Schizosaccharomyces pombe: one gene and its partner. Changing the gene in region 1 together with any one later gene gives a genetic interaction. Each region holds a gene or a part of one and is shown in the gene's direction. Other genes may lie near its edges.

What was found. A genetic interaction does not mean that the proteins touch.
Region 2: mutations in sgo2 (region 1) and pds5 together harm fitness more than expected from each alone (negative genetic interaction), as found in Schizosaccharomyces pombe (3 studies listed by BioGRID, with this or other methods).

The regions. Positions count from the first base shown.
Region 1 is NC_003424.3:3,712,109-3,717,103, forward strand, and holds sgo2 (shugoshin Sgo2), read left to right. Parts: upstream 1-2,033; 5' UTR 2,034-2,078; coding exon 2,079-2,115; exon of another isoform or gene 2,116-2,153; coding exon 2,154-2,193; exon of another isoform or gene 2,194-2,243; coding exon 2,244-2,476; exon of another isoform or gene 2,477-2,519; coding exon 2,520-2,587; exon of another isoform or gene 2,588-2,639; coding exon 2,640-4,205; 3' UTR 4,206-4,477; downstream 4,478-4,995. Other genes in the region: protein kinase domain and HEAT repeat protein Ppk3, read left to right, coding at 1-819, 860-988, 1,039-1,211, 1,271-1,652; bud6 (actin-interacting protein 3), read left to right, coding at 4,698-4,995. UniProt on the Schizosaccharomyces pombe protein: Involved in chromosome cohesion during mitosis and meiosis by preventing premature dissociation of cohesin complex from centromeres after prophase, when most of cohesin complex dissociates from chromosomes arms.
Region 2 is NC_003424.3:1,910,069-1,916,418, forward strand, and holds pds5 (mitotic and meiotic cohesin loader subunit Pds5), read left to right. Parts: upstream 1-1,779; 5' UTR 1,780-1,973; coding exon 1,974-5,591; 3' UTR 5,592-5,829; downstream 5,830-6,350. Other genes in the region: serine/threonine protein kinase Ppk1, read left to right, coding at 1-1,271; Rho family GTPase Cdc42, read left to right, coding at 6,040-6,087, 6,251-6,319. UniProt on the Schizosaccharomyces pombe protein: Required for the establishment and maintenance of sister chromatid cohesion during S phase. Prevents their formation until eso1 is present. May also have a role during meiosis.

The DNA.
Region 1 (4,995 bases):
AACCTTCAAATGTCTTCTGTTTATCTTAATAGTGCAGATGAATGGATAATAGGCGACTTTTTCTTAGCAGGTGATTCACCACAATTTATAAAGGATAATCATGACAAAATTCTGAACTGGAGTCGGTTGGTTCCGTTTGAAATTCAGTCTTCAACATTAAATAGTGCTTCATTCATTTACTTGGATTCTTATGAATTGGGAAAGTTCATTTCTCATCTTTATAATGGAACGCCAGGGGACTTATCTCAGCGTGGAAACATTCCAGCCAATATATTTGTTTCTGCAAAAAAACTGTTGAATGTGGAAGGAAAGCAAAAGTTATTAGCTTCAGAATTTCTAAAACTTGGCGAGCGTCCTGGGGGGTTTTTTCGTACACATTTGATTACGTTATATGAACTTTTGTCCGAGGTTCGAATAAACGAAGAGGAAGATAGAGTGAAATTAAAACAACTTCTTTCGTCAAAGCTAGAAGTAATTCCTAAAAACTATATACAAAAGGTTGTATTAAACATCCTCTTTCTACTATTATCGATTGACACCCATTCGGACGTCGTTGAGCTTCTATTCAAATGTGCTCAAATTGTAAAAGGAAGACCGGATATAGAAAAAGACTTTGGAGTACCGTTATTGTCTCTTTTGAAACAACAAAGCGTTCCCATACGAGGCTTGCTACTTTCCGGAATCATTAACAATCCCGACGTGCTACCAAAGAATATATATGAAGACACTAGCTTTTCAGTTTTCGCGAACCTTGTGCGCTCCAATTCTCCCACCTTAAAAGAACATGCTATTGTTGTTTTTTCCATTATAGCACCAAAAGTAAGCCATCTTATCTTACAAATTGCTAATTAGTATACAGCTTTCGAAGAAAACATTGAATAATGAACTACTACGAAGCTTAGCGGTTGTCCAAAATGACCAACATCCTACTTTACGTACCAACAGTACCATTTGTCTAGGTAAAATTGCTGAATATTTAGATGCCAGCGTAAGACTAAGAAGAACTAAACGTTAGGACTTTATTTTTAACAGATTTAGGTGCGAAAACCCGTTTTAGCTGCTGCTTTATCACGTTCTCTTAAAGACCCATTTGTTCCTGCTAGAGAGGCAGCCTTAAAAGTACTCCTCTCAGTTCAAAATTACTTTGATACAAAGGATGTGGCCATCAAACTTTTCCCATCGGTGGTGCCATTACTAATTGATGAAAACGAGTAAGATTTTTTTGAACCTGTATACCACTTAGGAATTACTAACTTTTTGACGTTATTAGAGGAATACGAAGAACAGCTGAGGATGTCACTGACCAATTTTTGAGCCGTATAAAAAACTTTAATTTAGGGGAAAAAGAAAATGTTTCCGCACCGGCAAAATTTAATGGTTCTTTTTGGTCCAAATTTATTCATTCATCTTCTGCTTCTCCTTCGCCTTCTATCGATATGAAAAAGGAGTCGCTTGAGTTAAAAAATGATACCACTGAAATAAAAGAAAAAAAAAATTCAAAAAGTAGAGTTGTTGGAAACACTGAAAACTCTAAGGATGAATTCAATAATCCTCTTTTTGAAACAGAGGAACAGATAGACGAATCTTGGATGGAAAACTGGAATGACGAAGAGGAAACAGAAAATAACGTAGAGGAAAGTTGGGGGTTATAATTTGATTGAATTTAATTAATAATTTTTCGTGGTCAAGATTAATTCACGACTAAATCACATGTCGACTAAGTACTCCATGTACTACTCGTTTTGACATATTTCAATCAAGCTTGATTTTTAATAATTAATATTTTTAATAGCTAATTATTTTTCTCTTTGAACATTTATTAATACCACTGAAAGGATTAGTGAATGGTAGTTCTTTCTTTAGTTATCTATCTATTCGTAAATTCAAAGTATAGTAAATGTAAAAGGATTTTAATGTTCTTTTCAAAGAGTGTATCATTAGTAGTCAAATAATTCGTACTTCGACTATCCAGCACCTCTACACCTTGTTGATAATGATACTGCTGTACAGCCGCGTTTAAGTACTAAACCTCCACCGGGAACGTGGTCAATGAAGTACATCGGGATTTTCTATTTATAATGTCGAAAGCATCTCTTTCCCCGAACGTAGAAGACTGTACGTGATACTTATATTAATCTCAACTGATGAATTAGTGAAAAAAAAGCAAATTCGACAGTATAAGGAAATTATACGGTACGCATACATTTTTGTTGGAATTGAATAATTAATTAACACATACAAAGAATAAGCAAGGCACAATCAATTAGAATTAAAGAATTGCAGTTAGAAAATGAACGGTTGCTTTCGGAAAATATCGATTTGAGGACTACAGCGATAAACTTGGAAGAGCAACTCGAAACCGTGCAAAACGAAAACGAAGAAAACAAAACAAAGTTAGCTGCATTACTTAATCGATTTCATGAAGAAACAGATAATTTTTTATCAAAATTAAGTCTTTGTCAGCAAGAAATACAAGGTACGTGTTTGAATTCATATCGTTTTTAGCTAATTGAACACAGACACCTTCAAACCAGTGGAGGCTAACTTAGCTTACGATGTCGATACGGATTCTGAAGACCTTGACGAGGTAAGTTGAATCGTATTATGTTTTTCAGATATGTTTATCTAACGTCTGAAAGGAATCCGTCGTGAAAGATACCGAAGAAATAATTGAGCAAGCTCAGCATGATGTTTCCTTACGAAATTTAAGTGGAATAGAGGATGAAAATATAATTGATGACGGAGAAACTGCTATAAATGAACAAAAAAAAAGAGAAGCTAATGTTTTTTCCGACACGCAATCAGCACCTCAGCTAAAATCCGGCAAAGCCCTCCCAGCTGATTTTGAAAATCCTTACAATCTATCCAATTCGAAACCTGTAAATAATAATAATGAAGATAGAGTTGAAGCGGTTACTTCTGAAAATAAATCTATCGATTCTGCTCCTCAGGAAAAAAATCATGAATACGAAATCGTTAGTCCAAAATCATTATCCAACAAAATTAATAATCAAGCAGCTGCACAAAGAAGAACCGAAGAAGATAATGCAAATGGAGTTGCTCAAGAAGAAAATGAGGGTTCACAAGAAGCTCATTTTCATAGCAGAATACAATCTGATACAGTAATACAAAGTACACCCACTAAACGGAAATGGGACGTTGACATTCAAAATAAACAAATTAATCTGGCTTCTGCAGCTACCAATGTTACCGGTTATGTATCGGAGACCGATAGTCGCCCCAATCGCGCAAACTCTTTGGATTCTGCTGTCCTTCTTGTGCAATCTTCAAATAAAAGTAACCGAAATGGGCATCATATTTCAGATCCTAATTTAAATAGCTCCATATCGTTGAAGTTTGCGCCTGAAGATACTGCGCATAATTCATTAACTTCACAAGAGAATGTTGGGCCTCAGGTTACGACGACTTCTCTGTCAAATATGACTGTTGCTGAATCTCCTCGTACAGACACTCCAAGGGAAATAAACGGGTTAGTAGACTCTTCTGTCACTAATGGGAACGAAAAATTTTCTGTAGAAATAATGAATGACTCTAACAAAATTGGACTGAATCCTAAATCTTTTACCGACGAAGAGCGGGAAATTTTAACACTTTTTCGAAATCCTCCCATGAGACTGTCAAGTGAACCTCCATCTTCAAATGGATTTTCAATAGCCCATCCCAATAATTCTCCGTTACGTCCGCCATCGCTACAAGGAATATTGAATGCTGAAGATCGACCTTACGAAATTGAGCCGTCACGTAGCTCCTTTGCTACCAACGATACGGGCTCCTATAATAATTTGGAACTTCTGTCATCTGTAACGAATTTGAAATCCCCTAATGAGAACGATCGTGTGACGAAAACTCAGTCGCGAAGAGAAACAAAAGTGAAAAGGCGAAGAAAAGCTCGGATTCAAGAAACTTCTGAAGAAAGTACAGTAGTCAATGAGCCAAATGAAAAACCTGATGGAAGGAGCCGAAGGGAACGGAAAAAGGTTAATTACGCTTTGCCTGGATTAAGGACGAAATTAAGACGGAATTTCGATTTACCTTCAGATCATGTAAAAGCTAAAAAAACGAGACGTGCTCCTAAGAACTCTGAGAATGATTCAGCTACCAAAACAGAAACCGCAAACATTACTTCTGAAGCACCCACTACTTCAGAAGTAACCCTTGAAAACTCCGAAACCCTTAATTTGTAATATTATGTAATTAAATACCTTTCGACATCGTTTAGTTGGTTCAGATTTTTTAAGTGGAGGTATGCGTCAATTTGAAATAAAAAGTCAATATTTTGGGAGTTAACCTTTGGTATTTCATATTACTTCTTTCTTTGTTTATTCACATTTTGTTCTTGTCATTAACGTTATGTACAAATATATGGTTTGGTTAGTTAAATACAATAAACAGGTGTGTAAATATATTATAAAATTACTTAGCAATCCTCACAAATTCAATTTACTATGTACCTTAGCACATTCATCAAGTAGTCCATTTCTAGTGTACCTCGATCGCCCTCGGTGGAAGTACTAACCTACGCAACTGAGTCTAATAAGTCAATATTCTTATGTTTTGTATATAACAAACCTAATTGGTTTTGTGTTTTCTCTTATGTTTATTGTTTTAAGTTTAAGTTGAACTTTCAATCCTTTTTTTGCGATTAGGATCATTGCTTTACTCATCTATTGGGACCAATGTTTAATAACGGCGATAATATGTCTCGTGAACGTTTTTCTTCCAATCATTCAATGCAAAGACAAAAGACTGAATCTCGAGCAAATTTTTCTCGAAGATTAGTCCCTTCCGACTCAAATCGGAAGCCTGTACCTAATGGCGCGTCCAACAGCCCTTTGTCAAGAGATGCAGCGTCTCATTTAATTAGTACAATCGAGACATCGATAATGAAGCTTTTAGTTGTAACAAAGGAGCTTCTTGAAAGCTTAACAAACTGGAGCAAAGGTACAGTTAATGATAGTGCTGTTTCATCCGTTT
Region 2 (6,350 bases), 1.8 Mb from region 1:
GCCGACTGTTCGCACAATTAATAAGTGGTGTTGCCTATTTACATTCTCGAGGAGTGGTACATAGAGATCTGAAGTTGGAGAATATATTGCTAGATACTAATCGAAATATCGTAATTGCGGATTTCGGCTTTGCGACTACTTTTGGGCACTTTAATACTCTCAGTGAACACTCATTGCCCACGGAAAAGCCAGATTTATTTAGTACATCATGTGGATCGCCTTGTTATGCGGCCCCTGAATTAGTGAATTGCAAGTCTGGAATGTATGCTGGCACACAAGCAGATATTTGGAGTTGCGGTGTCATTTTATATGCAATGTTGGCTGGGTATCTACCATTTGACGATGATCCACACAATCCAAATGGAGAAAATGTCCCTCGACTCTATCGGTATATTTGCAGTACTCCTTTAATATTTCCGGAGTTCTTTAAAAGCAAAGCTCGCGACATTCTTAAAAAAATTTTAGTTCCTGATCCAGCAAAACGTGTCCGAATGTCAGCAATTATGAATCACGCATATCTCCGGTCTCATGTGTCTCTATTTGAAACGTATAACGATGATGAAGCGACCTCACTGCGTCCGTCTCCCATCCGTTTGCTTTCTCAAAAATCTTTAGCTAGTGTTTCTTCAGTTTCGTCAATCAGCACTTACTCTTCTTCCATTGAATTGACTCCTCAGATCACAAAAACTTCATTAAATCGAGAAAAACCGGCATTACATGGCAGCATCAATCTTAAACACTCAACGAGGCCGGTTGTACCAATTGCAGATGGTATCTATGCTTCTACTACTCTTCATCCAATCGATAATGCTAAAAACCGCTTGGTTTCTTTACTGCGCCGTCCCAAGCATAAGGTTAAGCATGCCAAAGTTGAAACACGTGAATCTCCTATGAAAAATAAGCCAACTAAGAAACAACACAAGCGTGCATTTAGCATGTTTGAGAGGCCCACTTCTCAGAAAGCCCCATTGTCACCAGTAGAAAGCAAGATTAACCTTATGGTTGCTCCTAAACGTGTATTAAATTGTGCTTCAGATTCTTTAAGAGCTTTATTAGCAGGAAAGACGGATAAATCTTTTTGGGGTTCACGTATACCATTCTTGTTTAATAAATTGAAATCCAAACAGAAGGCTGTATCCAGCTCCTTCAATACGGAAAACTCATTTTTAATTCTTCAAGCAGTTTCGCCTTTAACTTTTGGAGGTTGTTTCAAAGAAGAAAACGCGTATGGGCAGAAGAAGCAGCACATGAGACACGCTACCGTTTTTTAATGTTTGCGTTACGATATTGTATATCTCAACAATGCATGATAATTATCAAACTGCCTGTTTCCTATATTAGTTTTTTAAAAAGATGGCTCTTCGACTTTTTCTTAAGAAAAGCGGTTTATATGGTTATCAATTATTAAAGCTTGAATTGATTGTTTGACAATGTTGAACAATGGGTTTCCTAAAAAAAGACGCTTTAGCTGATTTTTATCGTTTATCAGCGTGTATATTACTTGCCTTGTACTTTACAGTTTCCGCTTTTCATCTTTATTCTAACTTTTTATTTTAATTTTTAATTTTTTGGTACAAGCACCTTTCGTTCTTTAAACTACTTTTAAACTATTAAATTTCTTTCACTCATATGTCCTTATATCTAATTCACTCGTTAATAATATTTTATCATTACCCTTGAGTTATACTTATTAGTAAATAGTGTAATATTTTAATTACAATAAATGGAACGCGTTCTTTTACGCGTCTCTTCTTTAAGCAAGTACATTGCGAGTCTAACACGAACGTAATAAAGAGTTGAGCACCACATTTTGAAATCGCATCTTTCAAGCTTCAATATTGCGAAGTACTAATTAATAAAATCAGCCTATGGCTCTTATGGATATAGAGCATTGAAAGTTTACTGCATTTGTCATTTATTTGTTAAATACCCAAGGTGAATAGTACAAAAGCGTGCAAAAGCCAACTTTTGCGATGATAAAGTTACAGTTTCAAAGAAACATTGTCCCAACACATGACAATCCGTTAACGACTTCCGAGATTTTAAAACGACTACGTGATTTACTAGGAGAGCTTACTAGCCTATCCCAAGATACTATCGACCGTGACTCAGTATTGCCAGTAGCACGATCATTAGTAAATAACAATTTGCTCCATCACAAAGATAAAGGGATACGCTCTTATACACTTTGTTGTATTGTTGAATTGCTTCGTTTATGTGCCCCCGATGCGCCCTTCACTTTATCACAATTGGAAGATATTTTCCAAGTAATTCTCAAAATTCTTAGTGGTCTTATGAATCAAGAATCTACTTATTATCCACAAATTTACGAGATATTAGAGAGTTTGTCGAACGTTAAATCTGCAGTTCTAATAGTTGATCTCCCGAATGCTGAAGAATTCTTAGTAAATATCTTTCGTCTCTTCTTTGATTTAGCGAGAAAGGGTACTACCAAGAATGTCGAGTTTTACATGCTTGATATTATTAACCAGTTGATCAATGAGATTAACACCATTCCTGCTGCTGCCTTGAACATACTATTTGCTCAACTAATATCAGGAAAGGGCGTAAGGCAAACAATTGGCTCTTCCGATTCTACTAATCACGGTCCAGCTTTTCAACTAGCGAGAAATATTTTTCATGACTCAGCAGATCGACTACAAAGATATGTTTGCCAGTATTTCTCAGATATTATATTCGATTCAAGAGATTCGCTTTCTGACTCCATGACTACTCCAGAATTTATATTCTCGCACAATTTAGTTTTACAATTATGGAAATATGCACCAACCACGTTATTGAACATTATTCCACAATTCGAAAATGAATTGCAAGCTGAACAAACTAGTGTGCGACTTGTGGCGATAGAAACTGTTGGTTTGATGCTCCAAGACAACGCCATATGGTCCGATTATCCTAGGGTATGGAGTGCATTTTGTGGTCGGCTCAATGATAAATCAGTTGCATGTCGTATCAAATGCATTGAAGTTGCTTCCAACGCTCTTCAGAATTCATTGGCTACTTCTGAGATAATTGAAAACGTAGTTCAAATGCTTCAATCAAAGTTGGCCGACACGGATGAAAAGGTGCGGGTTGCTACTCTTAAAACGATCGAACAGTTGACTTTCGAAACCTTTAAAATGCAATTTTCAGTACAGGCTTTGAAACTCATGGGTGACCGTTTACGTGATCGTAAACTCAATGTTCGTTTACAAGCAATTCGGACACTAAGTCAAATTTATAATAGAGCATATCAAGACCTTATAGATGGTGTGGAATACTCAATACAGATGTTCAGCTGGATCCCTTCATCTCTTTTGGAAGTATTTTATGTTAATGATGAAACAACTAATGCGGCTGTTGAAATTTGTATGGCTGAACTGGTCCTACAATACCTTAGTTCTGATACGCAAACAAGGTTAAACAGGCTTTTCCTTTCAATAAAGTATTTTAGTGAAAAAGCGATGCGAGTTTTTATTCTACTTTTACAAAGACAAGTTAAGTATTCGGAACTCTTAAATTACTACATTGAGTGCTGCAAAAATTACAATGGAGGTGTTATGGATAATGATGAAGAGTCAATTACCAACAAGCTTAAGAAGGTGATTGATATCATATCATCAAAAAGTTCTAATCCTACATTAACAGAAGCCACTTTCAGAAAATTTGCGGAACTTAATGATCGTCAAAGCTACAAAATGCTTTTACAAACGTTTTCCATTAAAAGTGAATATCAAGTTGTTTTAAAAAGCATAAAATATTTATTTAAAAGGGTTTCTGAAACGTTGAGTACCGCAAGTCTTGAATGTTTTAGAATATTCGTTTACCGTTCAGCTCTGTTTGCTTTTAATAAAAGCAACGTGCATGAAATAATTCAATTATTAAATGAACCTGTAAAATACCACAATTTCCTTAAGCCGTCGGAGGCTCTTTTACAGCATTTACCGCTAATTCATCCCAACATATATGGAGAGGTTGTTATAGAAGTTGAAAATATTATAGTTTCTTCGGGCATTGAATCGGATCCTAAAGTAATTAAAGCTCTTTCCCAATTCTCCAAAAGAAAAAAAAATTTTTCTATACAAACAACAACTGCTGAAATACTACGAAAGTTGTGTCTACATGGAACACAGGAACAAGCCAAACAGGCAGCGACGATTATCGCTATAACGGAGACGAAAGAATTCAAACTCGATATGATAACGAATATCGTGGAAAATTTGGAGTATAATGGAGGACTTCCTGTACGGCTTATGACTTTAGGACAACTATTTCTATACACTTTAGAAGAGGTAGAGAAGGTTGCTGACCAAGTTACAGAATTTTTAGTAAAAAAAGTTATACAGCGCTTTCCTGAAAAATATGATGATACGCATAATGATGAGGAATGGTGTACTTACGAAAAATTAGATAATCTTACCATGTGCAAAGTTTTAGCAATTAGGGTTTTGGTTAATCGACTGAGGGCGGCGGCAGGAGGAACCGAAGCGTTAAATATTGGAGCTCCTATCATTAAGCTATTGAAAGTATTGTTAATGGCTGACGGTGAATTAAGTCCGTTCAAGAATACTCCCAAAATTTCTCGTGCTTATTTACGTCTCACTGCTAGCAAATATTTTTTAAAGTTATGTTCCATTCCTTTTTATGCGGAACATATAGATTTTAGTTCTTACGTTCAAATCTCCTTATTATGCCAAGATGAAAATTTTGACGTGAGAAATTTATTTTTGACGAAGCTTCAGAAGCAGCTGCAACTTAAAAAGTTGCCAATTAGTTATTATCCTTTATTGTTCCTGACTGCTGTTGATCCGGAAGAGGAGATCAAGACTAAAGCGTCTATATGGATACGTTCTCAGGTTGCTTTTTTCCAGAAAACCCATGATTTTACCATGGAATATGTAGCAACATATCTTATCCATCTTCTCTCTCACCATCCAGACATATCTTCGATAGAATCAGAGAACTCGCTTGATTTTATTGCATACATTCGCTTTTACGTTGACACTGTTGTTAATAGTGAGAACGTCCCAATCGTTTTTCATCTAATGCAACGCATAAAACAAAGCTATGATGTTATTGAAGATGGAAACAATTACATTTATGTGCTAAGCGACATGGCTCAGAAAATATTGCAGGTGAAATCCCAGAACTTTGGATGGAGTTTGACTACGTATCCAAAGCAAATTAAATTACCTTACGAAATTTTAAGACCAATTCCCTCTATAGATGAGAAAAAGAGAATTTTCAATAAAATCTTCATAACGCCTAAAATGGAAAGTCAGATTGAACATGCTATAAGGACACCAGTCTCATCTTTTGCGAAACAGACTACCAATAAGCACGCAAATTTGAAGCAAAAGAAGACTCATAGCTCAAAGAGCGATAAAAAATCGTCTAGAAGAAGGAAAAACGAAAAAAGGAGAAAGCTAAATGAGCAGAATCCTAATATTAGGAACGTGCCAGAACGAAGTAGCTCAAGATTTCAAGGGATTCGTATAAATTATTCGGAAGCACCGTCTTCAAGTGAGGAGATAAGCGAAGAAGAGGAGGAAATTAGCGAAGAAGATTTTGATGAAATAGAGGATTTATAAAAAAGGCTTATTTGGATGCGAAATACCGATACTAGAACACTTACCCAATATTACCAATGAATTTTCAATGTTAATTAGATAAATTGCTATCTTTTTTGTTAAACAATCTATGCTTGCTAATTGCCTAAACTTTTGAAAGATGACTCCATCACATACATGCCTCCATAACTTCTGCATCTATTAATTTTTTTCATTCCTAGTAATATAATAATAAAAGTTGCATTTTTGAGTTTTTTTACGCTTTACAATTCGTAAAATCTAATAGTGAGATTGGATTAGCCGCTGTAGTATATCTTAATAAAGCATGGCTGGGCGAACTAATTACGGTGACCGCACAATATATTTACCTACAACCAACACCGGTGTTTGATACTTAGGGGTTTGAACTTTCTAGGAATTCAATAAAGTGAAGCAAAGCTTTACGATTAATTATTTTTTGTGAAATAGTATGCCCACCATTAAGTGTGTCGTAGTAGGAGACGGTGCTGTAGGAAAGGTGAGTTGATGTTTACGGAAGGTGAAGTTAAGCAATGCATAAAAAAATACAAGAATTGCTATCATCTAAAATGAAGTTTCTTTTGTCTATACATTCCCCTTTATTTCTTTCTTTCCAAAAATTGTTCTTTTGAGTTTTACACATACTGACCGTTTGAATGTAGACCTGTCTGCTTATTTCCTATACTACAAACAAGTTTCCTAGTGACTATGTGCCAACTGTATTCGATAATGTAAGTATAATTAGTTGTTTATGGAATGAAG